7 linked regions of the Rattus norvegicus genome follow. The protein of the gene in region 1 interacts with the protein of each later gene in a biochemical or structural test. Links are inferred from orthologs where the notes say so. Each region holds a gene or a part of one and is shown in the gene's direction. Other genes may lie near its edges.

What was found.
Region 2: of the proteins of Rb1 (region 1) and Ccne1, one has a biochemical effect on the other in vitro, tested with the Homo sapiens proteins (9 studies listed by BioGRID). The link is inferred for Rattus norvegicus from reciprocal best matches to the Homo sapiens genes RB1 and CCNE1.
Region 3: of the proteins of Rb1 (region 1) and Casp3, one has a biochemical effect on the other in vitro, tested with the Homo sapiens proteins (2 studies listed by BioGRID). The link is inferred for Rattus norvegicus from reciprocal best matches to the Homo sapiens genes RB1 and CASP3.
Region 4: the proteins of Rb1 (region 1) and Mrps18b form a complex in vitro, tested with the Homo sapiens proteins (2 studies listed by BioGRID and IntAct). The link is inferred for Rattus norvegicus from reciprocal best matches to the Homo sapiens genes RB1 and MRPS18B.
Region 5: the proteins of Rb1 (region 1) and Ccna1 form a complex in vitro, tested with the Homo sapiens proteins (2 studies listed by BioGRID, with this or other methods). The link is inferred for Rattus norvegicus from reciprocal best matches to the Homo sapiens genes RB1 and CCNA1.
Region 6: the proteins of Rb1 (region 1) and Mcm7 form a complex in vitro, tested with the Homo sapiens proteins (2 studies listed by BioGRID). The link is inferred for Rattus norvegicus from reciprocal best matches to the Homo sapiens genes RB1 and MCM7.
Region 7: the proteins of Rb1 (region 1) and Dnmt1 form a complex in vitro, tested with the Homo sapiens proteins (2 studies listed by BioGRID). The link is inferred for Rattus norvegicus from reciprocal best matches to the Homo sapiens genes RB1 and DNMT1.

The regions. Positions count from the first base shown.
Region 1 is NC_086033.1:54,789,533-54,793,403, reverse strand, and holds part of Rb1 (retinoblastoma-associated protein), read left to right. Parts: intron 1-1; coding exon 2-106; intron 107-1,168; coding exon 1,169-1,282; intron 1,283-1,384; coding exon 1,385-1,548; intron 1,549-3,871. UniProt on the Homo sapiens protein: Tumor suppressor that is a key regulator of the G1/S transition of the cell cycle. The hypophosphorylated form binds transcription regulators of the E2F family, preventing transcription of E2F-responsive genes.
Region 2 is NC_086019.1:99,924,922-99,929,394, reverse strand, and holds the start of Ccne1 (G1/S-specific cyclin-E1), read left to right. Parts: upstream 1-1,485; 5' UTR 1,486-1,631; exon of another isoform or gene 1,632-1,745; intron 1,746-2,116; 5' UTR 2,117-2,139; coding exon 2,140-2,162; intron 2,163-2,265; coding exon 2,266-2,353; intron 2,354-2,588; coding exon 2,589-2,657; intron 2,658-4,473. UniProt on the Homo sapiens protein: Essential for the control of the cell cycle at the G1/S (start) transition.
Region 3 is NC_086034.1:52,410,580-52,415,128, reverse strand, and holds the start of Casp3 (caspase-3), read left to right. Parts: upstream 1-1,396; 5' UTR 1,397-1,437; exon of another isoform or gene 1,438-1,442; intron 1,443-4,549. UniProt on the Homo sapiens protein: Thiol protease that acts as a major effector caspase involved in the execution phase of apoptosis. Following cleavage and activation by initiator caspases (CASP8, CASP9 and/or CASP10), mediates execution of apoptosis by catalyzing cleavage of many proteins.
Region 4 is NC_086038.1:2,841,711-2,846,080, forward strand, and holds the start of Mrps18b (28S ribosomal protein S18b, mitochondrial), read left to right. Parts: upstream 1-1,295; 5' UTR 1,296-1,314; coding exon 1,315-1,398; intron 1,399-2,578; coding exon 2,579-2,684; intron 2,685-2,778; coding exon 2,779-2,876; intron 2,877-2,982; coding exon 2,983-3,051; intron 3,052-4,370.
Region 5 is NC_086020.1:141,390,360-141,394,953, reverse strand, and holds the start of Ccna1 (cyclin-A1), read left to right. Parts: upstream 1-1,653; 5' UTR 1,654-1,902; intron 1,903-1,991; exon of another isoform or gene 1,992-2,203; intron 2,204-2,670; 5' UTR 2,671-2,694; coding exon 2,695-2,859; intron 2,860-4,594. UniProt on the Homo sapiens protein: May be involved in the control of the cell cycle at the G1/S (start) and G2/M (mitosis) transitions. May primarily function in the control of the germline meiotic cell cycle and additionally in the control of mitotic cell cycle in some somatic cells.
Region 6 is NC_086030.1:22,155,226-22,157,975, reverse strand, and holds the end of Mcm7 (DNA replication licensing factor MCM7), read left to right. Parts: intron 1-581; coding exon 582-750; intron 751-841; exon of another isoform or gene 842-923; intron 924-1,045; exon of another isoform or gene 1,046-1,132; intron 1,133-1,227; coding exon of another isoform or gene 1,228-1,263; exon of another isoform or gene 1,264-1,478; intron 1,479-1,484; coding exon 1,485-1,594; intron 1,595-1,740; coding exon 1,741-1,942; 3' UTR 1,943-2,055; downstream 2,056-2,750. Other genes in the region: Cops6 (COP9 signalosome complex subunit 6), read right to left, coding at 2,585-2,725. UniProt on the Homo sapiens protein: Acts as a component of the MCM2-7 complex (MCM complex) which is the replicative helicase essential for 'once per cell cycle' DNA replication initiation and elongation in eukaryotic cells.
Region 7 is NC_086026.1:27,731,628-27,735,498, reverse strand, and holds part of Dnmt1 (DNA (cytosine-5)-methyltransferase 1), read left to right. Parts: intron 1-1,909; coding exon 1,910-2,028; intron 2,029-2,236; coding exon 2,237-2,329; intron 2,330-3,107; coding exon 3,108-3,259; intron 3,260-3,550; coding exon 3,551-3,738; intron 3,739-3,837; coding exon 3,838-3,871. UniProt on the Homo sapiens protein: Methylates CpG residues. Preferentially methylates hemimethylated DNA. Associates with DNA replication sites in S phase maintaining the methylation pattern in the newly synthesized strand, that is essential for epigenetic inheritance.

The DNA.
Region 1 (3,871 bases):
GATTATGATGTGTTCTATGTATGGCATCTGCAAGGTGAAAAACATTGACCTTAAATTCAAAATCATCGTAACTGCGTATAAGGATCTTCCTCACGCTGCCCAGGAGGTAGGTAGTTTCTCATGGTAAGACTTTGAAAAATAAATCAGTATTCATAGTTTGCTTCAGTTGTTAAATAGAGATTATATATTCTTATTTAATTTTATAATTATTTGTAACTGAAGTATAAAAGTATGGCAAACTATGAAATCTAAATCCATAGTTGCTGTTCATAAATAATACTATATTTATATAGTAGTAACTGGGATATTTGAAATTAACTTTGACATAATATATTAGTTTTTATTTTTCACAGGAGAAGATACTGTAAGTGAATCCCTATAAAGATATAAAATTTCCCAGTGCAAGCCCATTTTGTGTCTCTAGTTTTTTCTCCCACAGAGATGCTATCATGGTAATCACACTTAGTCTGACACACATTTTACACTGTCCTGGAACGCACAGTGAATCCTGGGTTATTGTTTCAGTCTGTCATTGTATTTTTGGAAAGTGATACAAACCAGTTTGGTTTTACTCATATATTGGGAGTTATTTTCTAAATTAGTTATATAGATTGTTTTACAGAGATACTCTATAAAATTTCTTTAGTTTTACCAAGTTAACATTTATACAAGTTGGACCTGGTATCTCAGATCTATAATTCCTACTCAGAATGATAAGTGAGAAGAAGATATCACAAGGACAAAGTTGCAAACCTAGACCCTGCTTATAAAAATAAAAATGGGTTTGTTCGTAAAATCTACTTACAATGTCTGTTTCTTGCAAGAGCATGGTGTCCATGTTCTAAACCCTTTAGATGAGAGGTTGAAGGCTGCTACAGGCCAGTGGATACTGTCTGTGTAGTAGTGGTGATGGTGCCGGGCTTTGGTAAGCACAGCCTACCTTCCTTGTAGAGTGGCCAGCATCTGTCTGTGGCTTCCAGGCCCCTTCTCTGGATCAGCTTGGTCACTTTAAATATTTAGAGTATCTATAATTTTAGTCTAAGGGAGCCTTTGTAGATTATTATTTTCTGTATAAAATGTGTTTTTTAAATAAAACTATGTACAACTATTTTAAAAGAAAAGTTAAAGAGAAGTTCTTAAATTTATTTAACATGTTTTTTTTCCTCAGACCTTTAAACGTGTTTTGATCAGAGAAGAGGAGTTTGATTCCATTATAGTGTTCTACAACTCAGTTTTCATGCAGAGACTAAAAACAAATATTTTACAGTATGCCTCCACCAGGGTATGTTGAAATATTCTTTAACTGGAGAAATCTAATGACAAAGTAATGGATCCCACCAAAACATTAGCTCAATGATCTTTTTTCCTTTTGTTTTGGGTCTAGCCTCCTACCTTGTCACCAATACCTCACATTCCTCGAAGCCCTTACAAGTTCTCTAGTTCACCCTTGCGGATTCCTGGAGGTAACATCTATATATCACCCCTAAAGAGTCCTTATAAAATTTCAGAAGGTCTGCCAACACCCACAAAAATGACTCCAAGATCAAGGTTGGTGTTTCCTTTTTAAGGGAATGCTGAAAACAGTAATGCTGAACCTGACAATTTTGATTTAAGCTTTCTTAAAGTTCAAAACGGGATAGGCTGTTGGATGTCTGCTTTCTTTATGTGCGTTAAGTAAATATGTGAAAAGAATTGGGGGGGCAAAGAAAAGGTGTGTGCTTGGATGGGCTTGTATATTACTTGTGCTTACCCAGCTGCTAGGTCTCTTCTGTGTATAGTCTGAGAACCAGTCAGTATTCATGTGTGCCTCAACACTAGTAGTTTTATAAGCCATCAATGTAGAGCATTTTAGGTTAACATGTTTGTTTGTTTGTTTGTTTGTTTTGTTTTAAACGGGGTCTCACTATGTAGCTCTAGGCTGGCCTAGAACTTGCTAAGTAGACCAGGCAGGGTACATATCCAGAGACCCACCTGCCTCTACCTCCTGATTGCTGGGATTAAATGTGTGTACCATCATACCCAGAATCTTTATTCAAAATGTACTGGAAACTGTATGCATCTTAGTATTTTGCTTGTTTTGAAAATGGAGTCATCAAGGCTGGCAATATGTACCACCCGTAAAAGTACTTGCCACACAAACTAATGACTTGAGTTTGATTTCTGGATAGAAGTAGTAGAGAACCAGCTTCTGACTTTGAGATGCTTGTTCACACTCTCACACACAGTAATTATAGTAAGTAAGTATGTTTTTAAAATGAAGATATCTTACTAAGTGTAGATTACTGTCAGGAAAACCCACCTTTCTTAATTCTACTGGTGGATTTCTTACATTTCATCGGACATTTCTGTTTCAGAAAGACACTGGTTCAAGCAAAATGAACATGAAGCTGTATTAAATTCTCAGATGAAAGATTCTGTGCAGTGACAAATCATGTCTCTGGCTTTGAAGTCCTTCACTACATTAATTATGTGTTATCATAGGCTACTTGAAACTGGCTGAATGTTTTTAAAGTAGAAGTCCAATTAACTCATATAATTAATGCCATCTCATCAGAAGTTTTCAGTACATGTAGTTTGCACCTGGTGGGCAAGAAAGTAAACGAGAAGAAGAGCTTTATTACCTTTTAAGCAGATATCTGTATGGTGTATTTAATTACATGAATAATGTACACTTGTGATTAAGTTTTCAAGTGTTGTAGAAGAACATGAATGGAAGCTCCTGTGTGTATCTAGATCCCTCTCTCTGTATGATGCTCTTTGTAGCTGATGTCTGTGTGCAGGTAGCCTCAGCTCACCTTGTAACATGCCAAGATGTCACACATGTCTGAAGTAAATTCACAGAGTGCCATGCTGCTGCATGACATGGCATGTATATCGGAAGTTTCTGATAGTGATAAGTGATCCACATTATGATAAAAATGATGGCTGTTTGCTGATCTTAATCAGAAGCAGTTTTGTATTGCTATTCTTTTTTCCCTTTAATTTAGTAATTTATTCTTTTTACATTCCTATTGCTACCCTCCCCTCTTCCAAGTTCCTATCCCCCCATTGACATTCTTAATTTTTTTTCTCTTTGAAACTATATCTTCAATATGTAGCCCAGTATAACTTCAAATTCACTGCTTCAGTCTCCCAAGTACAGGGATGAGGCAACATGCCCAGCATGCATTGGTGTTCGTTTTAGCTGGGGAAGAGTCAAATCATGAACATCCTAACTGGCACATCACTGATGAGGCTTTAGAGAACCATGCAACATATTTAGGTATTCTGATTGATCAAATATACATGGAAGGATGTCACTTACTAAAGAAATGGAAGACAATAAAATTTACATAGCTACTAGTTCTTTATTGAGCTACATATAGAAATACTTTTTCAACTTGATTATCAAAAATATAAGTTATAACTAAGTCTGGTAACATAGACCTGTAATCTCAGCTGCTGAGGGGAGGCCAAAGCCAGAGAATCACAAGCTCAAGGCCTGCTGGGCAACTCTGTGAGGCCCTGTCTGAAAGGCCAAAGAAGGTTTGGGATGGAGCTTAGTGATAGAGCTCTAGCTTACACATACACAGCCTGGTTCAACCCCTGTAATGTGGTTGAAATGAAGACAAATGGGATAAGTATCTCTGATTATAGGATACATAAAAGTAGCATTTACTATATACCAGTATAAATCCTAATTAAAATCTTATTATTTATAAGCACACATTATAAAATTATATTTATTGGGGCGAGTGTTGCTTGCATGCCATGCCAACATGCGAGGGTCAGAGAAGAGTTTGTAGAGTCTGTTCTCTCTGTGCATCTTTATGTGGGTTTCGGTGACGGAACCCAGGTTGCCAGGTGTGTGTAGCAGTTGCCTATATTTGCT
Region 2 (4,473 bases), on another chromosome or scaffold:
CCTGGGACACCCCCGGTTTGCTAGTCGGGACCTGTGGGAAGGGCACACCCCACTTTGACTTCCAGAGACAGTCACTTACCCTGAGGAAAGTCCCCAGAGGTATCAGACCCTGCCTGCCTTCTGCCTTATACACTTTAACAAGTTGAGTACAGGTCTTTGCTAGTAGCCATTGTGTTTAAAATGTCTTTCTCAGTAACTTGTATGCTCCACAGACCTGGGTCAGTGTGGGATGGGAGATAAACATATATATATATATGTTTTACGAACATAAGAGAAGTGACCCTTTTAATCTAGAGCTCGAACAAGTCGAGAAGGGCCAAGAGGATAAGAAAACAGAGTGAAGAACAAGAGATTCAAGGAAACAAGTGCTTTGCCATAGCAAGGCAGCGACACTGGACACTGGAGAGGACGTCCTGGGGAAAGGTATGCTGGAGAGGAAGTGGTTACCATAGGCCTTCAAGTTTTCCGGAAACACAAACAGCTGGAATGGGTCAGGAGAGAGTACTGCAAGCACTGGGGCTCTGGGGTGAGAAAGGGCACCGAATACTGGATCCAGCAGCTCAGGCGGAGGGCTGAAGGTCAGGTCTGGGTGGCTGAGGGTCACTTCACGTTGTGAGGCATGTGCTTATTCTGAGGTTGATGAAAACACGTGGAGTAGAATTTTATGCTGGAGACTGCCTCACCTCATGTGGACCTGAGGGTCAGAGAGGCCTATTGCAGGCGGGTTGGGCTAGAGGCACAGAAATGTGCTTGGATAGCCAAATGAATGAATGGATCTAGAGACACTGACAGATTAAAGGACCTGCTGCTGGTCCACATGAGATCTAACAGCAGCAGCCTGAATGCTGGTTCCGGTCCCAGGAGCTGTTGTGACCTTGGGGACACCCACGCACCGGACTCGGCCCGGAACTCTGTGTCTCAGGGGCGGGGAGGACGAGCCGGGAAGGACAGTGCGCGCGCGCGGGAGACAGGCGGACGACGGGTTCTGTACGCCCGGCCCTCAGGTGCATCACTGCGGTCAAGCCCGGCCGCCGATTATTGCAATCTGCCGAGGTAACATTCCACTTGCGCGGCCCACGCGGCTCCTCGCGGCCCCGCAAGCTCCTAATCCTTCGGGCGCTCGCGCCAAGATTCTCCCGCGTCAGCGAGCCCGCCCCGCAGCCGCGCGCGCCACTCGACTCTCCCGCGTCCCGCCCCGATCAGGCCCCGCCCACCACGTCCGCACCACGCCCCCGGCGCGCAGGCCCTGACATCTAGCCCCACCCCTTTTGTGCAGGACACGCCCATATTAGAACACGCCCTCTGGGAAGCCCCGCCTCAACCAGAGCTCTTCGCTGGTCCGCGCGGCGACGGGGCGGGCCCTGGGCCTGCGGCGGCCGCTGAGGGGCTCGCTGCCCGCGGGGCGGGGCGCGAGGGCGGGACGGGGCCGGTACCGCGCGCTGGGATTTTTAAATGTCCCGCTCGAAGCCGGGCGCAGGAGCAGCCGGCTCGACAGCTAGCGCGGTGTAGGGGGCAGGCGCGGATCCCGCCAGCGCCGCGCGCTCGGCCGCCGCCTCCCGCCTCCTGCTTCCCGCCTGCCGTCGGCCTCCTGTCCGCTCGAGCGCGCCTGCCTGCGGCGGACACAGCTTCGGGTACGGGCTGCCTGGATTCCCGGGACTCCCTCGACTCCCAGGTTTCCGGACCGGGTCCGACCGGACCGGGCCCGGGTGGGGGTGGGGCGAGACCCGGTCACCCGGTCCCCTGAGGTATCAGCTCGGGGTGCCCCGGCTAGGGTGGCTGTGAGAGACGAGTCAGGGGGTAGGTGTAGAAAGGGACACTGAGGCAGCCCCGGCCCCGAGGGCGGTGATGGAGCGGGGGGTCCTCTCAAAGGTCGGCTAGGCCTCCATCCTCAACCTCAGGTTCGGACCCAGGGTCGCAGGCTGCCGGGGGCGCCTGCGGGTGACAAGCCACCCGGGCCCATCGGCCATTTTCCCGGCCGGCCTCCGGGCCCGGGAGGCTCCCGCCGCCGCCACCGCCGCCCGCGCGGGAGGGGGGAGGGGTGCCCGGGACGAACTGGAGGACTCGGGTCCCCTCTGCGGGCCGTGCTCACCACGATGCCTACTTGATGTCCTCCCAGGTCTGAGTTCCAAGTCCTGAGCCATGCCAAGGGAGAGGAAGGAGAGGTGAGTGGCCTCCCTGCTGCGGGAGGGTAAGGGTGAGTAGCGGTGGGGGAGGGGCAGAATGAGTTTTGGGGGAGCAGCACCCCATGACACCATGCCTTTGCAGAGACTCGAAGGACCACAGCAACATGAAAGAAGAAGGTGGCTCCGACCTCTCAGTCCGATCCAGAAAAAGGAAGGCAAATGTGGCCGTTGTGAGTACAAAGGATACAGGTTGGGAAGGGGACCCCCCCCCCCATTTCATCTTACCTGGGTACCAAATTTGGGTCTTCTCACCTACTAGTGAAGAGGATTAGTTGATGGGGAGGTTTCCATTAGTTGAATGCCGTTCAGAACCTAAAAAACTTTTTTCCCTCTTTTCTCTTGTGTTTTTGTCTTTGGGTTGCACCGTGTGGACCCTTGGTGAACTGGGAATTTTTTTGTTTTTAGTTTTTGCAAGATCCGGATGAAGAAATTGCCAAGATTGACAAGACTGTGAAAAGCCAGGATAGCAGTCAGGTAGGTCTGCTGCCTACAGGGTGTTCAGCCTCTTGAGTTCCATGCTTTCTTTCTTCCAAGTTTCCCAAACCAGAGCCACAGGCCACATGGCTGAGCCTCTGGAGCCTGTCAGTGTGGCCTGGTCTCTGTTGGGCCTGGGGTTGTGGGAAGGGTTTGCATTTCCTGAATGGCACCTTGAAGGTTACAGGTACTGATTGATACCTGGAGGAACCAGAGTGAGTGCCATATAATTTGTGCTTTCTAAACCCAGGGGAAACTGAGTCTTAGAACCCAGAATCCTTTGCAAGCCCAGAGCAGAGCTGGGCCTGCAGTCTTACTGACAAAGGCTAGCTGGGGGATAGGACTCTCAACTATTTCTCCCTCATCCATACTTGGGACTTCTCTTAATCCCAGCAGCAGAGAAGCAGAGGTGGGCAATCAGGGTTCCACACCAGCCCAGACCATATAGTAAGATCCTGGAGCAAAAAATAAAAAAAAAACTTTTCTCCTATGTGGCCCAGAATGTTCCACCGTCAGCTGACTGCATTGATTACCGCTGTCTGGACGTTTACATGGCCTCAGCAAGGGTCTGTGATGACGTGTGTCTGAACCAGTATTTCATTGGCCGCTCCACTTCTGTCCCCTCCTGTGGAGCGCTTGCCAGATCTTTCTAATGCAGCATGGTATCATAATTTCAGAAGATCCTTGCAGAGAGAGCTTGTATTATCTCTTTGCCTCCAGAGATGGCTGGAGACTATAGTTATGGCTCCAGTGGGGGGAGCAGCCTATCTCCAAAGTAGTTGGTGAGACCTTCAACCTTCATCACAGATAAAGCTGAGCAGGAACAGTATTCTGTTGACCTCATCTCTCTTCTCCCAAAGAGGCTAGCGGTGACTTTGAGAGCAGGGAGAGACAGCTGGTTCTGAAGAATGTCTTCTGGGCAATGATGTTCCGCCAGCTAGGGCTGCAGTAATGTGTGTTTCTAGGCAGAACCCCACTAGACATTAAAGGGTCAGGTTTTCTTCCTGTTCAAAAAAAAAGTAGCCCCAACAGAAGGAAAGTGCATCTCACATTCTTTTTTCTCCCATCATTTCCCTTAAAACCTTCAGCAAGTTGTTATTAAGATAAACCATGCTTTGTAGAATTCAAGATTGTTCGTGTTGCCAGCTGTGCTTTGAACAGAAACGTCCAAGTGAGAGTGAAGCTCAGCCATCAGTGTTGGCGTTGTGGAAATTCAGGCTCACATCTCAGGAGTAACAGCAGTGCCCAGAGTGTCCAAGAAAGGACTGGCTCCTCGTCTGCACTGTGGGGATGAGGGTCATAGCACATGAGTGGAGTCCAGTCATGAGAAAGTGTTCTCATGTTGAATTTCTAGAGTAGATAGCTTAAAAATAACTATTTTTTTTTCTGTGAAGATTCATAAAGCCAGAATTTGGGGTGGGTAGTTTTGTCTGTTTGGGTTTTAATTGCTTAGAATTTTTTTCTGGATTTAAGTTCAGCCCAGTGACAGGATTCATACTAAATTCAATAATACTGAAAGCCCACAGAGACCTTTGGTTCTTATCTTCAGCTACTATTTTTGTTTTTAAAACGGGATCCCAGGCTGGAGAGATGGCTCAGTGGTTAAGAGTGCTGACTGCTCTTCCAGAGGTCCTGAGTTCAAATCCCAGCAACCACATGGTGGCTCACAACCATCTGTAATGAGATCTGATGCCCTCTTCTGGTGTGTCTGAAGGCAGCCTTAAATCTTTAAAGAAAGAAGAAAAAAAAAAACACAGGGCCCTTTATGTAACTCAGGCTGACCTTGAACTCAGTGATCCCCTCCCTGCCTCAGCCT
Region 3 (4,549 bases), on another chromosome or scaffold:
TATCTTGACAGACTAAATCTTCCTGCAGATGTAGGCCTGAAAACGTTTATCTATTATACTTCTAGTTCAGTTTTGTCACCAAATGGAAGGAAGCTAAGGCCCACTCCCTGTTCCTAGACTACTTCAGAAGCCCTCTTACTCCAGCTGCCCAACCTGGAAAGCATCATATTGCTTTTCATGATTTTTTTCTCTCTTGAGGCCCAGAACCACTTCAGCTCCCTATGGGTCCTGGCTGTGAGGAGAAATTACAGGGCTCAGACGAAAAATACCACCTCCAGCTGTTTTGCTTTAACAAGATGAAGTCAACATAACGGAGAGAACGGCTGAGGATACTTCATCTAAGGTATCATTTGGTTAAGAACGTTTGGCACAGGGATGGGTCAGTGCCCAACAAGGAGATCAGGATTTCTCAATTAGTTTTTCCCTGTGAACTACAGCCTCCACGAAGCATCGCTAGGGTTGAGTGCGACCTATGCGAAAGTTTCTCCCAACAGAAACTGGCTGATCCTCACTCACTTTGAGAGGGATGATGATAGATTAATTTGTTTCTGGAATCTGCATTTAACTACTATGGCTCTTCAGAAGGGCAAACCACTTATCCTTTTAAAGCCTCTGTTGGAACTGGAAAAACTAAGAAATGTATTATGGAAATGTAAGAGCTCGAATTCCACACGCAGCGAATGGTAGACATTTGGGTACCTACGTACACTACAGTCCCTCACATCCGACCAAGCAATTGCGTTGGGGACAAGCAAGCTACTGCTCTATGGAGTGAATTTGTCCTCAGAGTATCCTGGGCCCCTGAAGTATACTGACTGCTTTGCTCATGTTTTCGTATATTATGCAAAAAACACTTCTCAGAGTCAGAGTCTGAAATAGGACCCAAAGCAGTCGGAGATTTCAGTAAGGTAGTCAGGGCTTCTGACTTGAGGGAGCAAGAGTTAGGCGGAAGAAAGGCCTCGGTTCATTTGAGAGGAAGTAGAGATTGCGAGTGCGGGGGTTTAGCCCTATTTTCTCCGGCCGGAGCTCTGACTGACAGAGGCGTCTCCCTGAACGCCCACCTTTGTGACCCTGGAATCAGGCCTGGCCTAGAGACCTCTCTAAATTTACCTCAAGCAGTGCAAGTCGGCCGGAGGCGGCAGATGGTGGAGGCAGAGATGGCGGGAACCAGAACTTGAAACCCCCGCGAGGGGGCGGGGCCGGAGGGGGCGGGGCTCTAGGGTGAGCCATCGGTGGGCGGGGCCTGCGCTGCCGCGGCTCGGCTGCAGTCCTGGCGCGCTGGAAATTAGGGTTGGGGGAGGGGATAAAGAGAAGGAGGAGGAGGTCGAGGGGGCGGGGCGTGGGCGGGGCGTGGGCGGGACCGGCGGTAGGCTGCTGATGCAGTGTTGGTGTTGGTGGGATCAAAGCTTAGTGTCCTGAGGTGCGGAGCTTGGAACGGTACGGTGAGTGTCTGCTGCTTTCGCGCTTTCCAGGACCTGCGTTGCCACCGGGAGCCGGCGCTCTGTCGCCCAGTCTGCAGCTCCTAGGAAGAGGCGGGGGAAACGGGCGATCTGGGCGGAGGATCCTTTGTGTTGCCTCCAGGCTTGCTCAGGCAAGCACTGAAGGCAGAGAAGCTGGAAACAGCGCCGGTAGCGTGGTCTGGAGCTGGGAGCCCAGACCCGGGAGGCCAAGCTGGTGTCCCTAAACCTGGGTGAACCGGGGCAGGACTCAGACCCTCGAATATGGCGCAGGGGCCGCGCCGAGGCGCAAAAGGCGGAGTCCGGGGATCCGGAGATTGCCCTGGGCACCGAGCTTCAGGGGTGGGAGGGGGTGAGTCCATAGTTGGGGTGAGCCTGGGAGCCGTGTGGCTGGAGGTGGCGGGATCCTGGAGTTGCAGGCTGAAGTGTGGACTCCGGAGCAGAGGATGGGTAGGGGAAGTTCTGCTCTGGGGCCTGAAGAATAGGCTGATGCTGACCTTAAGGCGGCTCTAAGGGACCCAGCCTCCCTGTTACAAGAGTATTTGGTCTCTACCTTTGGTCTTTTCCAGTGGCATCTTTGGTTCTTGTGGAGAGCTAATTTTAAGCATTGCTCCTCCAACTCTCTTTCTTACCCTGAAGCCTTTCGTTAAATACTCCACCTTATTCCTTTGTTGGTCAGTCACTGTAGGAGCTTGCATTGACATCTCTTGGACCATGCACAGAGAGCTTGTCCTTACTTCACACTTATTAGTTGGTCTCCTCTGAAGTCCGACTTGAGCAGCAGGGTCTTTACCTCATTCTTAGTTGAGTCACCCAGGAAACCCTTCTCAGGGACCTTCTCAGGACCCAACTTCCGCTGTTAGTCACTGAGCCTTGTAGACCTATGAATCTGACAGATTTATACCTGGCTGACCCTTCTGAGTCTTGTGGACTTTCTAGGTGTCTGCCAGATTGTTACCCACCTCAGGGAACTGAAGCAACCTCCTTGCAGGTTTCTGCCTCCCCCCCACCCCCCAAGGTTCTTCTCCAGTGCACTCCTTAAAACATAAACAAAAACAGTTTTCTAGCTGTTCGTGTTTACCCTTAGGGCTTAAGGGTAAAAGCCTATCCTCTAACCGGGTTGGCAAAGCCAAACCCTGGGTCTTGACTGTCTTCCCCGTTTTATCCTTTAATCACGTGTCCTTTTGGTTTTTCTTTGCTCCCTCAGTGCACCGTCTCACCTTTTCTCCCCACTGATACATTTGTCTATGAATAGGAGCTGCTTCGGAGGTTTCAGTTCTTAGTTAACAATTCAAGGTTGAATCTTCCCATTCCTTCCTTTGGGGCAGGCATTTCCTGAAAGCAGCCTTGTCATTTCCTCTACTTTTGCTTGTTTGTTTGCCTACAGAACTGTGAGCAAACACTGCTAGGCACTAATTTTAGCATGGTGCCCTTCCTTACTGGGTTTTTTGCACAAGTGATTGCTCAACCATTTGTTTTATTACAGCAAAATGGTTGATTAAAATGTGGATTAGGAGATTTTGGTGGGTGGGAAATGTGGGGCCGTTGTTACAGTTTGAGTATACAAAATAGCCGAGGAGATGCTAAACTGGGGGTGTGGCCAGCCTTTGGGAAGCCACTTTGGATGTGTTAATGGTAGAGCCCTGTCACAACCCAGTGTTGAAACTTTAAAGGCTTTGATTTGCTGTCCAGCAGAATAAGGCTTTTGCAAAGTGAGAATGTGTTTTAATTAGTGGAAGTTTATTGAAGCCTAGCAGTTCAACTGGTACAAAGTAACAAGTGAAATTCTGCACCTAATTAAATCAGATTGCTTTGTGGTCCTGCAGAAAGTTTCTGTCTCCTGCCATTTTAAGTAAGAACCCTATATCTTTATCTGATCTGAGTGGTTCCAGTGCCACTCTATGGTTTCAAACTTAGCAACATATTCACTTCACCCGCTTTCTAAAGTTACAATACAGTCTTTTCTTCAAACACATTGCATTAGTTCTGGTCTTCCTGTCAGATAATACTTAAAGTTCTACTCCAGTGATAGAGGTTGAAAGATGATGTGGAAATTTTTACATTCTTAAGTACTGTTTTATATAGTCTTTTAACAGATTAAAAAATATTTTTGGAGAGGAAAGAGTATTCTGTCATCTGACTGTCTGAGGCCAGGACCTGGGTGCTTACCTGCTCCTTCATAAAGAAAGCATAATCTATATAGCTCACAGGGTTTTGTAAAGATCAGATGAAATAGTATGTGTGACAATGTTTTGTTAAGGGTGACATTCTCCATAATAGTTCTTGTTTTGACCTCTTTGTTTTGGTCTTCAATATTGCCTGGAGAGCTTCATTCTGCTAAAGTACAACGAAATTATCTAATAAGGACTAAATGTGGGCTAATTAACATCTGCCTTGCTGCTGTTTTTAGATACCAGCAAACAAGAATATAAGCTCTGTATAGGGATAGGGTCTGCCTCTTCCACTACTTAATACGCTGAGGGTTCAACGGTTGATATTCAGTAGATTACATGGCTATCTGTCATTTTTATAAAAGACATTAAGGATCTTCCACTCTACTTTTATTTCAACAACAACAACAAATTGTTTTCAAACAGGTCAGTAATTCTTACACATCCCTAAGAGCATATAGGTTTATCCTCTAAAGGTTTCGCTTGGGAGAGGACAAGACAGACCCTTTGCAGATAGTAAGCACCACATTCTTTCCAGCTTGTGCCTCAAGGTCAGAGAGCTTCCTTAGACGAGATCCATCGCGTTCAGGGTGGTCTAGCTGTAGACAAAGGGCTTCATCAGGCTGGTCTGCCTTCCTGGTTGTGTGATTCATTCCAGAAACAAGAAAGCAAGATGATTTATTTGTTCCTATGATATGTTCTCCATATTTTCTTTTCCTTTCCAGCTATCTTTTCATAAACATTATAAGGTTGACACCAGCCAGTTCAATGAACCCCCAAAGGAACTGAGACCAGATGGAACAGATATGAGAATAAACAAAAGCAACCACTGGTGACATACACTGAGAACGATTTTTCTTAACTATTGTGAAACGGGTGCTCTCTGTTTCACTTACTTAATATGAAAGTGCTTGTGAGTTT
Region 4 (4,370 bases), on another chromosome or scaffold:
GGGGAGGGGTAAAATTTTGGAGGAAAAAAAATAAAACAACCAACCAGGACCCAAACTCAGTTACTTGTGGGGCCTCATTGGATCAAAAAGTCTCTTAAAAAAGTAAAGACCAACTCAGTTTTCATTTTCCCCCCACCCAACTCCATTAGGGAGAGGGGGTCGTTGAAAAAAATTCTGAGTGGACTCCAAAAAGGAAATGCTGGATGAGTGAGATTGGGTGGGTTTGGGTAGGGAGGGTGGTTGATTATTTTTGAAGTTATGTGGTGACGGTCCTTCGGCCACAGATTTCAAGTCCCAAGCAGCGTGGGCTGGTGGGGTGGGCAAGATAGGTGGGGAGGGGCAGAAGACACAAGTGGTTGGGCTGGTGGCTGCTGTTTTCCCTTTCCCCCCTCTCTCAGGATCCTTTCAAGGGTTTAGATGTTGCTGAGGCTTGTTTGTTTTCCTGATGGCCGGCCTGTCTTTCTCCGAGAAAATTCAACCTGGGGTAAAAGGAACACAAAAGGAGAAAGATGTCATCAGTACGGGTCGCCTTTAAACGTTTCAAAATTCCTTGTTGTCCCAGGATGCAGCCGCATTAGGTAAAAATGCGGCTGCCCAGTAAATCCAAAAAACACCCCACTTCCCCGGCCAACCGCTCTCGGCAAAACGTTACCCTCAAAGCGACGGAGCACCCAAACTTACCTCTAAACGAACCCCAGAATGGCGGCCGCCCGCTCGGGCGGAGTCTTTTATACCCGGCCACCGCCCAACGCACCCTAACGTGATGGAGAACCGCCCTCGTCGTGACACATTGTGCGCGAGGGGAACGCTGATTGGCCACAGTAAAAGCCGGGTCGCCCGCGGATTGGACGTCCCTCCTCCACTTTCCTGGAGTCCCTTCCCTTAATCCCCTCTTCCGTCTCCTTCGGATCACCTCGGAGCCAGCGCGTGATCGCCGTGTCCGGCACCTCCCCTTCCTCTGCCCCCAACACTTCCGCCCGGGCAAACGTGTCTCACCCTCGGTTGGTCGAAACGACCGTACGCATGCGCACTGGGAGCACCTTAGTCAAAATCGCAATCAAAATTGCTTTCGTGTTAAACACTAACCATGGAATTTATGAGCCATCGTGACTGGTCCGGGAGAAATGCAATTTTGAACGCTAGTTCGATTGTGACGCAGTTTAAATTCGCGTCCCTCCGCGGACCCCGCCCTTTGACGCTTCCGTCCTTAGGCACGTGAGCTGCCGCCTTCCGCCTTGCGGGGCAGGTCCTTGGCCCCGCCCTAGTCCTTGTCCGGCGCATGCGCAGTCGTTCTTCCGGCAGGCCGTACGTTGGATGTGCGACAAGATGGCTGCCTCCTTGCGGCACACGCTGCTAAGGCTGTATCCTTCACTCTTACGAAGTTCCTATGTAGCTCAGGTAAAACGTGGAGGAATTTCTCTGCCGACCGGTGGTGTCGATACTTTCAACCTTTGCTGCATTACGATGAGTTAAGGGGCACGGGTCTTCCCATATGTTTACGTGTTAGATCTGCACCACCCTCTGTTCCCACGGCGCGCGATTTCTTATATTTTTGGTTGTGAGCCTAGCCTTTAACGGCTGAGCCATCTCTCCAGCCCACGGCGCGCGATTTCTAAATACTGAGCGTTCGGGTCAGAACCAGGGTTACGTGTCATCGTCTCCCCCCGACTACCATTAGGAAAAAGAACTAGGTGGTGGGGTTACCCCAGTGGAAATGAGCAATTCATAACTAGATCGTTAGTACCTGAAGTGGTACCCAGAAAGTGTTTTTGTAGCAAAGGGCCTATTTTAAGATTTTCCCCCCCGTTGTTCCGGAGACAGTCTAGGTTGATCTCATAGGTGCTCCCTGAGCTTTCTACCTCTGGTTCCCAGGTTATGGAATTAAAAGCAAGATACACCACTCCTACTCCACCTTTTCACACATCATTTTCTTATCAGAGCATGCGTGAGAGTCTAATTCTGCTCTCTAGATTGAGATTGCCCTTTAGCCTGAGGTACTCACCACCCTGGAGGTTCTTGGCAGGGCAGGGAGAAATAGGAAGGCTTGTCCGGACGCCACTCCCTAAAATGGGACTACAGAGTGGTGACAGAGGTTACCACCGAAGTAATGACAGGCTTGGTGGCTTTAAAGCTAGCGTTAGCACTCACATTTGTTTTGCCCTGTGGAATGTTGACGCAGCATTTTATGAAACTGGTCACCGAAGTGACTTTGGATTTTTCTCATCGATTTGAATCACCCCTGCTCCCCATGAATCTTACTTCCAAAGGTTTGGACATATTTTTTCCCAGTAGAACCAACTAATGCTCAAGCAAGCTCAGATCTTAGTATGCCAAGGTTTTTAAATCGTTACATCCCACTAACAACCTCTACCTTGCTGGCTTATCCTACAGGATCTGATTGGGGAGCCTAGGTAGAGTGGTTGTCAGTTTAACAACAACAGAATTGCTACTTTCTTATATCTTCTTGCCAAGTTATGCTGATATTTTTGTGCACACGCTCCAACTCTCCCCAAAGTATGATAAACCAAATAGTTGCAGCCTTTTCTTGGAACTCCTCCTCCTTTCACTCCCTTCATAGGTTCCCCTCCAGACTCTCTGCACCAGAAGCCCACCTGAAGATGCTTCATCCTCACTTCCCGTCTCCCCTTTTGAGAACGAACCTTGGAAATACCTGGATTCAGAAGGTACCCAAGTTTGGTGCAAAGGAGAGGAAGATGGGGCTAAAAGATCCCTTCCATTCTCGAATGCATAAGTAAACTCATCTGGTCTTTATTTCAGAATACCAGAACCGCTATGGCTCTCGCCCTGTTTGGGCTGACTACCGCCGCAACCACAAAGGTGGTGTGCCACCACAGCGGACCCGAAAGACATGCATTGTAAGTTTCTAAGGTTCTCATCTTGGTGGGGCATGAAGAGGAGGCCATATTGAAGATAGCATAATTCTTTTTTTCCCACCTCTCCCTCCCCCCCTCCCCCCCACAGCGTAAGGATAAAGTGGCTGGGAATCCTTGCCCCATCTGCCGGGATCACAAGTTGCATGTTGACTTTAGGGTAAGGAGAATCTTTTATCCAGAATTAGAATTTGTGGCCTCTTCACAGTGCTAAAGAGATTGTCTGAAGTGTCTCACAGTCTTCTGTATCCCTGTACCCACAGTCTTATTTTTCAGTGGTTTGTCAGTGTGAAAACACCCCTTTTGAGCTGGATTTGGTGGCACACGCTTTTAATCCCAAGTTCTCAGACAGCCAAGTCTAAAAGTAGACTTGGTTAACATATATCTATAACCCCATCCACACTGGCAGACTGAAGCAGAAGTGTGAGTTCCAAGTTCCAGGCCTTCTCATAAACCTACACTACGTATTACAGAAAGGGAGGAAAAGAAAGCTTATTTCTGCGGGGATGATGCTCATAAGTTAACTCAGGAGGTAGGATGAGACAGTCTAAGTAGCCCGAGTACCTTCAGACTTAGGCAGCTGAACTGAGACCACACCTAGGTCACAGGTTAATTTTTTTTTTTTTAAGAGTAGATTTATTAAGGAAAGACCTCCAAAGACAGGGAGAGTCCGAAGATCGTTTACAAGTGTTTCATCCTGTCTTGGTGGGCAGAGCTTCCTTCATTTCCCTCTTTCGAGATGGCATCCATTTATGTAGCCCACACTAGCCTCAGCTCACTGTCCAGTCTTGGCAGGCTGAGTTGTGAGAGCTCAGGTGCGCACCACCTTGCCTAGTTGTCCGTATTCTTTGTCCTCCCAGTGTCCAGTGAGATGCTGGGACCTGGGGCCAGAGGACTGAGGTACAGAGTACAGTAAGGTCCTCTCCCATCCCCTCCCCCCACAAAAGCAGCCTTTAAAAATGATGGGGCTTGCTTCTGAGTGAGTGCAGGAATTGTAAAGATGCTCAGAGGGGCCAAAGCTGGGTATACAGCGTGTCAGGGTGTAGACGAAGGTGCTCGTCCTTCAAGCACATCACAGAGGGCCACAATGCCTTCCCAGGCTGTGTGCCTGGCAGGTTACAGTGACTGGGCTGGGCACCATGGCAGGCGGGTGAAGAGTAACAACCAGTTCTGTAACTCCACGCATGGATTTGCTTTTTTCCCTGCTCACCTCCTGTGATTGGTGTGTTTGGTTGTCTTACGTAATTAGAACGATTGAACTGCTCGCAGTCTTACAGCCTATCGAATTACTTACTCATTACAGATTCATTCTTTCTGGGTGATTTCTGGACCTTGATGACCACCCCAATTTTTGCCCAAAAGTGGACTATTAGGAACATGGCTTCTCCATAACCCAGTGGCAGATACAGAATGTGTAGGTGAAATGAGTTGGTGAGAGAGACGTAGAGCAGTAAAGAGCAGCTATGAGAGTATTGTTGG
Region 5 (4,594 bases), on another chromosome or scaffold:
CAGCTAGTTAAAGAGGTGAGTCTTAACATGAAAGGTGTATTTTACTGGAGGGTCCCCTTTGATTATTTCAATTCTTTTCTTTTTCAGTCATTCTTTCAGAATTTCCATGCATGTGGGGTCTTCTTCAACCCCCTCCAATAGCGTGTGCTCTCTCTTGTCCTCTCTCCAACAACCTCTTATCTATGTGAAGACAGCCTAACGGCCATAGACATTTCTGTAGATGTCTTTGTAAACATCTTCCTTAGGTCCCAACTAGGTTCTTAAGCTCCAATCCTGGGAGAATGAAAAGAAGTTTCCTAGAAACAACCACCAAGATCAAAATGAACGCAGAAAGCTCTAGTCTCTAGAACAAAGCTTGTCCCCTCCCAAGCCTCTCTGTCTCTAGTAAGGACTTGCCAGGTTCAGAAGGAGTTAGCTGAGCCCTTCAACAATCACAAGGACAGTTTGCTTTCTTGGAAGATTTCCAGGAAGTCTCATAGGCTGCATGCCTTCACCAGTCAGAGCACCTTGAAAACAAACAAACAAACCTCATCTGGTCCTGGGTGGCTTAGCAGCATCTGTCCCAGCAGCAACCAATATGTTCCTGAACCCCATATGTCATCTTCATATTTGAGGACCGAGAATTAGAGGATGCAACATGTAGAAGTTCAGTCATACCGAACAAGGAGTTTTTTGCACTTCTGCATCCAGTGTGGGTTGGTGGAATGCTTTGCAAAGCCCTCTTCACAAGCCGCTCAATCAGATGGCTTTGAGTCCACACTTTTCTTGGAATCTTCTGCTTCTGGTCGGTTGAGACAGTTCACAGCTGGTAAGCCTCTGGTGAACACATCAATTAATACACTTAGGCAGGCTGATGACCTTTGCTTAAAGTCTTTGGGACTGTTTTGGGAATTTAGGGGTGGATTTTTATTTTTAAGCAAAAGCAGTAACAGAATATTTATGTATCTATGTATATGAAGATATATACATGTATGCATATACACACGTATATATCTGATATATATGCATATATGCATATACATATACATCCGGTGCTCACATATATGTGAGTACATGTATGTGTGTGTATAAATACTTTCATTATTTTTCAAAAGAAGTTAACCAATTATGTAACTCAGTTTGCTGATTGCCTGTCGCCTCCGCAGGTACCAGGGTTTGCAGTATTCAAGATTTGCCTTTTTTAGACCCCTCTTTGTAGTTGAACCCCACCCCCACCCCCAGACTCTCCCTTCACACGTGGCCAGGTCACCGGAGCAGTGACCTCAGCTCAGAATCTCTCCTTATGCCCTCTCAACATCCAAGTCCCAGAGGCTCCCCGCGTTCTTTCCTCTTCCCTGCACCCGTGTGTGCCCAAAGGAAGACCTCTCACGGGTGACTGGGGCACCTCGAGTTACGCTACAGGCTCCAAATCTCTCCCAGCTCCTTTTGCCACAAGCCTGGTGCCTGGCCATCCTGGAAGGCTAAAATGTGGCCCAGCCAGCCGCTGCTCGGGATCGGGAGCCGGGAGGGCAGGCGTCCTGGAGAAGGAGATGGGGAAGGAGAGCGAGCCGCGCCCTCGGGCCGGCCAGGAGGGCGCCACGGCCGCAGCCCGAGGGCCCCGCGTCGCTCTCCCGAGCCAGGGTTCTCGGGAGCGGGCCGCGCAGGAGACGTTAGCGGGAGGGGTTCGTGTCTGTTGGGGGAACCGGTTCCTGGGGAACAGTCCCTTTCAGGGCGGCCACAGTGGTCAGGCCGCCATCCGCCCTCCCTGGTGACGCCGACCAAGGGGCGCGAGTGGCGACGTGCTGTGCGTTGCGGTTCGGTGTGCCTGGCACCCCTGGCTTTGCGGCTCAGGAGCCCCGGGCTGCGCGGTTGGCCGCGCCCCGCAGCGCCCCGGGGGCCGAGCATCAGCGGACAGCGCTGCAGGTGAGCGGTCGCCAGGGCGATGAGGCTTCGGGCGCACGCCCGCCGCGGTTGGCATGGAAGCGGCTCTGCTGGGCTCGGGGTGGCTGCTGATTGGCTGATTCAACAGACGCGGCTGGGTCGAAAGTCCTCAGTGGCGAGCGCACTAGTCAAGGCCGCTGGAGCCGACGCCCCTGGAATCCCTCCACTCCGGGGTCCCCTCCCTCTGCGCACGGCCCCGCCCTCCCCGCCCCGGCCCGGGTGCGCTTGCTAATCGCCCAGAGAAGAACCTGAGAAGCAGGGCCGGCTGTGGGTTCCCAAGCAGGTTTGGGGGACTTACTTCTGGAAAGAAGCACCTGCTTATCGCTTGGGAAGGAGACTCATCTGTCCCCAGTCAGGGATCCTGGATTTAGCCCCAGATCAGGAAGAGGGTGTGGGGGAAGGAGGATCAGGAATCATAGGTTCTGCTTCCCCCTCCCCTAAATTAATGTGGGCAGAGAATCGTGAGTGGCGTTTGGGCAGGCTCTCTCTCTGCAACTTTAAGACTGGGGTCATATTAAAGCCCATTCAACCATTCAACCATTCAACCATTCAACCATTCAACTATTCAACCATTCAACCATTCTGAGTTAGTTGGTTGTTCTGATGCGTGAGCTGTCACTTGGGACCTTAATGTTTGTTGAGAAGTTGTGACCTCTGGGGCTTGGCACTCTTTTTTTTTTTTTTTTCTGCATTTCTGGATCCCCAGGTTGAGAAGTAAACTAACTGTGTCTCCTTCTTTTTCCGGGATAGCAGCAGGCTGTGGCTTGCTAGGCAATGCGTCGCCACAGCTCGAAGAGTGGAGTCGCACTGCCTCCAGTGGGCCAAGGTCCTGATGCTTGTCAGATGCTCACCCGAGCTCAGCTTGGCCAGGATCCCCCACAGAGAACCGTGCTAGGAGTGTTGACTGAAAATGAGCAGTACAGGAGGGCCTGTGGCCAGGTAATGACCCAGGAGCACCAGGAAATACTCTACGGAGAAGGGTTGGCAATATACTTGTGTGTGTGTGTGTGTGTGTGTGTGTGTGTGTGTGTGCGTGTGTGCATGTAACACCAGGAAAGATGCTGCAGAGAAAGAAGCCTTGCTGCGTGTGTGTGTGTGTGTGTGTACAGTCATGCACCCGTGCCTGTGTGTCACAAACGCTGGGAAAGATGCTGTAGATAAAGAAGGCTTTCTGTGATAGTGTACGTGTGCGCACATATGTGCATATGTGTGTGTAGCCTCCCCCATGAAGAACATATGTGTAGGGACTGTTTTGGGTTAAGTGACTCGAGGGCTAGCCAGAAAGAATGCAATTACGCTGTACGATAGCCCTGGAGATGCTCTGGGCCAGAAAGGTGTTCAGGAGGAGCTAGGCCACCACGAAGTAATCAGGGAGAGCTTATGCTGTGCTCCGTGGGCACACTGTGTGTGCCAGGATACACCAGCTTACTTTATAAAATAAAAGTTGCTTCTAGAGCTCACATCTCTACCACTGCAGACCAGGAATGGACACTGGGATAGTTACATACTTGTCTGCTCCAAACCAACTATAGGATTTTTCACTGAAGACAGGAATCCAGACGTTTAAGAGAAGAAATCTGAATCTGCAATGATGGTTTTTTTTTGAGATAGAAAATAAAATCACCCCCACCCCCAGCCTGCTACTAGACATAAGGATGCTTGTACTCCGTATTGCGAGTCTATGGAACCCAGAGCTGGTGCTTACAGGAGTCCAGTCTGGAAGTACCAAGTGTTCTGGTAGAGGCTCCTTTAGAGGCCCCTTATCACTTCCTTCAAGGCCACTGCCTTTTGTAAGGACTTGATCCACTGATGTCAGAGATACCCAAAATGATCCTTTTAATAAGTGACAGGAGTTTAAGTAGAACTTGATTAGCAATGTTCGTTCTTTAAACTTACACCCGAGACCTGAATTTATGAATTGGAACTGGTGTCTGTACTAAAATGACCTTGTTTCATGTTCACACCGGTGCTGCCTGGAGCCACTGCTTGGTGGCCCCTCTACACTCCACCATACACACCCTCTGCTGCCTGATTCCCATTCTTTTTTAAAAAATCTGTTTGCATCTTGGTTTTAAAATAATTTGATTTCCGTATTACTGTGTATGTACAACCGTACATGCATGCTGTGTGTCTGTGAGCATGCATTGCCACGGCATTCATGTGGAGGTCAGAGGACGAGTTTGGAAGCTCCTTCTCTCCTTCCGGGGCTTGAACTCAGATCACCAGGCTTGTCAGGGAGTGTCTTTAACTCCCAAAGTCATCTTGATTCCTTAATCTCCATAAGTCCTGTTCCTTCTGAATAAGGAATAAGATAATCTGATTTCTCAGAAGTATCCCATAGTCTGAACCTTCTCTTTTTCCCCACTCCAGGAGGTAGGGGGAGTCTAGCAAAGCTGGCTTTGAACTGACATGTAGCTCTAAATGGCCTCAACTTCAGGCTCCTCCTTCCCCAGCCTTCCTAGTTCTGACACTGCAGGTTTGTTGTCTTTGGGTTAGCAGCTGCAATTCCTAATGCTTCCCTGGGCCATTCCCATGCTGTTCTGTTACTGCTGTGTCCCAGCTCTTGCACCTATGCGAAGCCCCTCATGGCTTCCTGGCTTTCAAGAACTTGGCTCTCCAACAACTTCTCTTTCTCTTCTCTTTGCTCTGTCTCATGTACATCAAACATGTACAG
Region 6 (2,750 bases), on another chromosome or scaffold:
TGTCTGAAAAGCTTTCAGTCTGCAGAGGACAATGTATTTACTTCCTCCTCCCTCAAAGTAGCTGAGCCTGAGAATACTGAGCCTGGGTCTTTAGCCACAAAGCAAGGGATCATCAGAAACTTTTCTGGTTTGGGGTGACAGCAGCAGGCTGTAAGTAAACTTAGCTGCTGTGCATCCTGAGGCAAGGGGATCTTTTAGAGATCTTTTAGGGGTGTCTCCAAAAACTACTGGCCTCCCCCATATATAAAAGGGTCTCCCTTACTGTCTTCTTCTTGTCTTAGGCAGGTATAGCTTTTTGGCCGTGTCTGTTTCCATAGCACAGATGACTCAGCACCTCACAAATCTGCAGGTTTCTAAATTGATTTTCTCTGGGCCTCTGAAGTCTGTCCCCTTATGTGACAAGTTCAGAGGAGTTAAATCTGCCCAATGCAGGTGCATTTGTCTTGCTTTGGGAAGCCTAGAGAAGTCCCTCAGTTATGCCTAAGCAAATAGTTGTCCACTTCCAGCATAGAATATTAAGTAGGAAATCTCCTATAAAGCATGCATGTCTTCCGCTTTCCCATGAGCCTTGTTTCCCACAGACGGTACATTGCCATGTGCCGCGAGAGGCAGCCCACAGTGCCTGACTCTCTGGCTGACTACATCACTGCAGCGTATGTGGAGATGAGGCGAGAGGCCCGGGCCAGTAAGGATGCCACCTACACTTCTGCCCGGACCCTGCTGGCCATTCTCCGACTTTCTACTGCTCTGGTGAGTGCTGGGTCCCTGTCTGCTAGAAGGCTGACCCTTGCCTGCCACCTCACCTAATGTCCTTCAAGCTGCCTTCTTCCCTCCCACCAGCCCTGCTGGGACTAAAGTGCTGACAGTGCAGATAGTGGTCCTCTCTGTGCTACCGCACTGTGGGTACTTGCTGCTCCAGCAGGGCACATGCAACACCCACGGAGGGAAAGGCTGCTTGAATCCACGAGGGGGTTGGAAGGACTTGAGTTCCTGATGCCCTAGATATCTTAGAAGTCTTCCTTCTGTCCTCCCCTCTTGGACCTTTAGTCATGGGGGCTCCAAAGTGCTGTTCGTGCAGGTAGTGCATTGCCTGACCTACTGCTGAGCTAGCACTTCCCGAGCCCCCAGGACACAGCCTCTGACAGTGGCCCTAGCTGAGCACCCCAGGCTCCACTTGTCACGATGGGGAGCCTAGTGGAGTTCAGAAGGGTCTGGTCTCCCTCACAGGACGGCAGGACACCCACCGGGACTGGCCAGTGTTGAGAGGCGGAGACACGGGCAATTGCTGGACGCTGCCCTGGGCATTGCACTTGTCTCGGTCTGACAGTGCCGGCCCAACACTGCAGATGTGGGGGGCAGGGAAGAACCCACTTTTGTTCTATGAGTAGGCGAATGTGGCTTGCCCGGGTTTGAAGCCAGAGCAGAGATCCTTGGTTTCACCCCTCCTCCCCTCCTATCCCTATTTCCCCACGCCTTCCCCTTAGGCTCGCCTTCGGATGGTAGATATTGTGGAGAAGGAAGATGTGAATGAAGCCATAAGGTTGATGGAGATGTCAAAGGACTCCCTTCTGGGTGAAAAGGGACAAACGGCTAGGTGAGTGTCTTAATGAAATTGGGCTACCTGACATAATTGAGCTGGTCACTTTTGTGGCTTCTGCACATGGACAAGTTTGACTTCAGGATTTTGGTGCTGATGGCTACTGGGCCTTGCACTTAACCTTTTCCATCCTTGTCTTTCAGGACCCAGAGGCCAGCAGATGTGATATTTGCTACCGTCCGTGAGTTGGTATCAGGGGGACGGAGTGTCCGCTTTTCTGAGGCTGAACAGCGCTGCATATCACGTGGCTTCACACCAGCCCAGTTCCAGGCAGCTCTGGATGAATATGAGGAGCTAAATGTCTGGCAGGTCAATACTTCTCGGACACGGATCACCTTTGTCTGACAGCCAGTTTTTGAGCCCTACTGCCTACCCCAGAAAGTTTGCGTGATGCCCCCTGAGAGGACAATTTCCCATGCTGCACTTTTTTATTCTGCCAATAAAGTGTTTTGACTGCCTCCTGCTTGGGTCTGGCTTGTTAATGCTTTCTGAGCCTAAGTGCTAGTCAAGCTGGAGGTATAAGGCCTTGGAATGGATTTTTGGTTTGTTAGACCCCCACATGACACATCACCCCCGAGGTGCCTCCGGGATATAGGAAAACAAGGATTTGGGTTACCCAGAATTATTAAGATGGGCTTGGCATCCCTCCCCTTCCTATACTCCCTTCACTTTCAGTGAAATTAGCTTGGGGAAACAGTCATTTGTCTGGAGTCATTTTCTGGAGAAGTTGAGGACAGAACAAGGAAGAACTGGAAAGTCAGCAGGCAGTCCTATCACATTCTGTCTACAAGGGTCCTGAGTCATTAAAAGATAAGTGGGTCCTGTCTGAAGAGTCCAGGTGAGAAACCATTGTGCCTGAGAGGACAAAGCCACTGGAAGGGCTGCTAAGGGGCTGTTCTTTATTAGTGAGTTTCTCTAAGGGGAAAGTGCTCAGTCCCGTGGCACAGTTGTCTGAGCCCCATACAGCATCCCTTCCAAGAGCCCTCATCAGAAAAACAGTCCCCGCATCCGCCTGCCGATGCCTTGTCGGTCATACAGGACGTTGAACTTGTTCACAAACTGGTTCATTGTGTTGCACGTTTTGGTGATGGTGCCGAGGTAGGCCATAAGCCCCACGTCATTGCATTGCTGGGAGGGAACAGAAAGAACCAGT
Region 7 (3,871 bases), on another chromosome or scaffold:
CCGAGTGCTGGGGTTGAAGGTGGGATTGAACCTCCAGACCTGCTTTTGGTTTTTGAGACAGGGTCTTTAACTGTGTCATCCGGTTGTCTGTGAACTCCTTTCATCCCTAGTGTTGAATTCCAGGTGCGCCACCACTGAGCTTAGTTTTTCTCTTTCTCCCCTTTCCCCTTTTTCTGTTTGAAACCAGGATTCAGACGATTCAGACTATGTAGCCTTGGCTAGAATTCTTTAAATCGATCAGGCTAGACTCAACTTGGATCTGCCTGCCTCAGCTCATACTAGCATTAAAGGTTTGCAGCACTGTGCCTGGCTACAAAGCTTCGTTATTGTTCTGATGCTTTTTCACTGCTGGATCGGGAACCTAGGGTCTTCTGGGCCCTAGGCAAGCGAGCTCATCCTAAGCCACGCCCCCAGGTTTGTTGGCTGCTTTGTGGTTGGTGCAGTCTGTAAGCTAAATCTTTAGTCTGTGCCTTTCTGAAGCTCATCCTTGTGCTCACACAAGAACAGCTCTGTGCAGAGGGCCAGCTCCACAGACGTAGCTCCTCAGAGCCTTGCCTTGTCACAGAGAAACAGCGAGTGAATGCTCACAGATGATTTAATACTTGCAACCCCAAGGCACTTGGACTTGGGTGATTCTGCAGTGTTTGTGTGTATTATCACAAGATGGGACCCTCATCTTGAAATGATGCTCACCAAGTTCAGAGTCTCCTGCTTCCGACACAGCCGTCCAAGCCAGACTGACTTTGAATTTTTGGTTGTCCTCCTACCTCTGCCTTTCAAGTGCTGGCATTACAGGCGTGCCCGCCATCTCTGGCTCAGACAGCATCTCTTATTTGTTTGAAAGGAGCAGAATGGCAGTTCTTGTGTGCTTGTGTGCTATGTATTTTTCATGCTCGATATTGGGATTGTGGGGTTTTGGTTAACAATACTCCTGTGGGGTTTTGGTTAACAATACTCCGCCTAACAGCTCAGTAGTGAGGAGAGGCTGGGCCGCAGGGGGAGGGGATCAAGGAGTGGGAAATGGAGAGACAGAAATGGCAAAAGCAGAGTTGCAGTCAGAATGGAGGCCTGACGTGGAGGAGGAGGAGGCAGCCGCCTTGGGTGTGCTTAGTTTGCCTGAAGGTTCACCTGGGCCTGAACTGAGCAGGCAGTAAACGTAGAGGCCATAGTGGCTAGTGGAGAATCAGGGCTAGGATGTGACCAGGCTGGACACAAGTCCTGGGCTATATGTGGTGGAAGGAGCACCCATTGGCATCGCAGTAGGCATTAAACTCCTGGGTGCTCTGATGTTGAACACATCATGGGCTGAAGTACCTAGAGCCATTTGAGTCAAGATCCCCCAGTGTGGCTGTGACTGTCCTCCCTACCAGTTGGATGGTGACTGTTCTCTCTCTGCCGCAGGAGATTGGTTCCCATAGAGGATTCTGTCTGCCAGTGATCTAGAGGGCTAGGCCCTCACAGGCAGGAGAACCTCCAAGGGGCCATTTGAAGCCTGCCCTGTAGATAGCTGTGAGTCTCACTGTGGCACCCTCACAGCTGAGCCCAGGCTTTCTCCCTCAGTTGAGTTTTATGGCCACCTCCCTGGTGCGGGAAGATGCTGAGGGCTTGCAACCTTTGTGCTGGAAGCTGGGAGACATAAGGGACTCTGCATTGGCTGAGTGACAGGCCTGGTACTACGGTGTTCTTTAGTCTGGAGAGTAAACTCCAGTTTCTGATCCCTACATAGGGCAGCTCACAGCTAACCGCTTACAGCTGCAGCTTCAAAGGAACCCTCTGACGTTACCGTGTGTGCTTGTAGTACAGGAGAGGGGAGTGAGAGTCACCATTGGGTGAAGACCAGTGTTGGCAAAGACCAACATGGCCCTCAGTGTTGGGTTGGGTGGTAAAGTGATGTCTGTTGTCTGTTCAGTGTGTATTGCAGTCGCGGTCACTTGTGTCCTGTCGACACTGGTCTCATTGAGAAGAACGTTGAACTCTACTTTTCTGGTGTTGCCAAAGCAATTCATGAAGAAAATCCGTCTGTGGAAGGTAGGTGAAATGTTCAAACAAGGGTTGTTTCAAGAAGCAAGCAAATTTGGAGGCAAGATATCCCATGGGAGGTACTGCTTCAAGGGAGAGCTCAAAGTTCTGCAGAAAGATCTTGGAGAGGCAGCATGCCGGCTGGGTCTTCCTGGCAGGGATGGGAGGTACAAGTCGCCATGTTTAGTCTGTTTCTTATAGAAAGACTTTCCCACAGGTGGTGTTAATGGCAAGAACCTGGGGCCAATCAATCAGTGGTGGATCAGTGGCTTTGACGGTGGCGAGAAGGCGCTCATTGGCTTTTCTACCGGTGAGTGTCTGCAGTCACAGGTGTCCTGGAGCCTCCTGGCTGCCTGGGCTCAATGGGCTTTGTGCAGAGGGGTCATTAGCATTGGCGGGATCTGGTGACTGGCGTTCATCGTAACCGGCCTGGAAGTGGATCCTCTGGTTGTACAATAGTCAAATGCTTACAACTTGAATGGGTCCCAGCTCTAGCTAAGTTCCCTTTTCTGGCCCGAGTGGTACTAGCTAATGGAGAAGTTGGGCTTTTGGGGTTTGGTTGTGGGTTTTTTGTTTGCTTTGTTTTTTTGGTTTTTTTTTTTTTTTGGTTGTAGGATAAATTGTAGACTGTTCTGTTCTGGAAACTTGGTAGATTCATGCTTGCCCTGTGTTCATCTTGGAGGCCATCAGTTTTGAGATGGCCTTAAATTTTTTTCTACACTTACTATGTGCACCATAGCATGCATGTGGGTCATATAGGACAACTTGTAGTTGATCTTCCTCTACCTTGTGAGTCCCTAGGATCAAACTCAGGTTGTCAAACTTGCAAACTGGCACCCTTGTCTGGTGAGCCATCTCATTGGCCCTGAAACAGCTGTTTTTAATGTTTTACCTGCTGGACAAAGCTGATACCTGTTGTCCTAGATACTCAGGAGGCGGAGGAGTTTAGGGCTAGCCTAGGCAACATGGCAAGACCCCATTATTTAAACCAAGCAGCTGTCTATATAAACAGGTAAAATGCTAACCATCCTAACTGGACTGATCATCCATATTCTCTAAAAAACCCAGGTCATATGTTTTCTTCCCAGCATTTGCTGAATACTTTCTGATGGAGCCCAGCCCAGAGTATGCACCAATATTTGGGCTGATGCAGGAGAAAATTTACATCAGCAAGATTGTGGTCGAGTTCTTGCAGAGCAATCCTGACGCTGTCTATGAAGACTTGATCAATAAGATCGAGGTGGGTGAGAACTTTGCCTTCTCTGGTAGGTTTGGATCCACATAAAAATCTGCACAGTCTTCTGTTACCACTAGAAGGGTTTTGATTGACGGATGAATGAAGCAGGCTTGGGGGCGTGGCTCGGTTGTAGAGCCCCTGCCTAGAGTTCCTCAGTGAGGGGCTGAGGCACATTGTGGCTTAATGGTACAGTCGTACATTGCTTGCCTAGCCTGCATGCTGTACTAGGCTCTCCATCCCCTAGTGTTACAAGGACGCGAAATACTAGAAACATGATCTTTTCTTCCCCTACAGACCACTGTTCCTCCTTCTGCCATCAATGTGAACCGGTTCACCGAGGACTCCCTCCTACGCCATGCCCAGTTTGTGGTGAGCCAGGTAGAAAGTTACGACGACGCTAAGGACGATGATGAGACGCCCATCTTCTTGTCTCCCTGTATGAGGTCCCTGATCCATTTGGCTGGTGTCTCGCTGGGACAGAGGTAAGGATGTATCAAGACTCGGGTGGGAGGCTTGAGCTTGAGACCAGAGGAGGCAGTCCCCTGCGCCTGGGTCCCTGAAATGGTGGTCCTCTCCCTCAGGCGAGCAACAAGGCGCACGGTCATCAATTCTGCC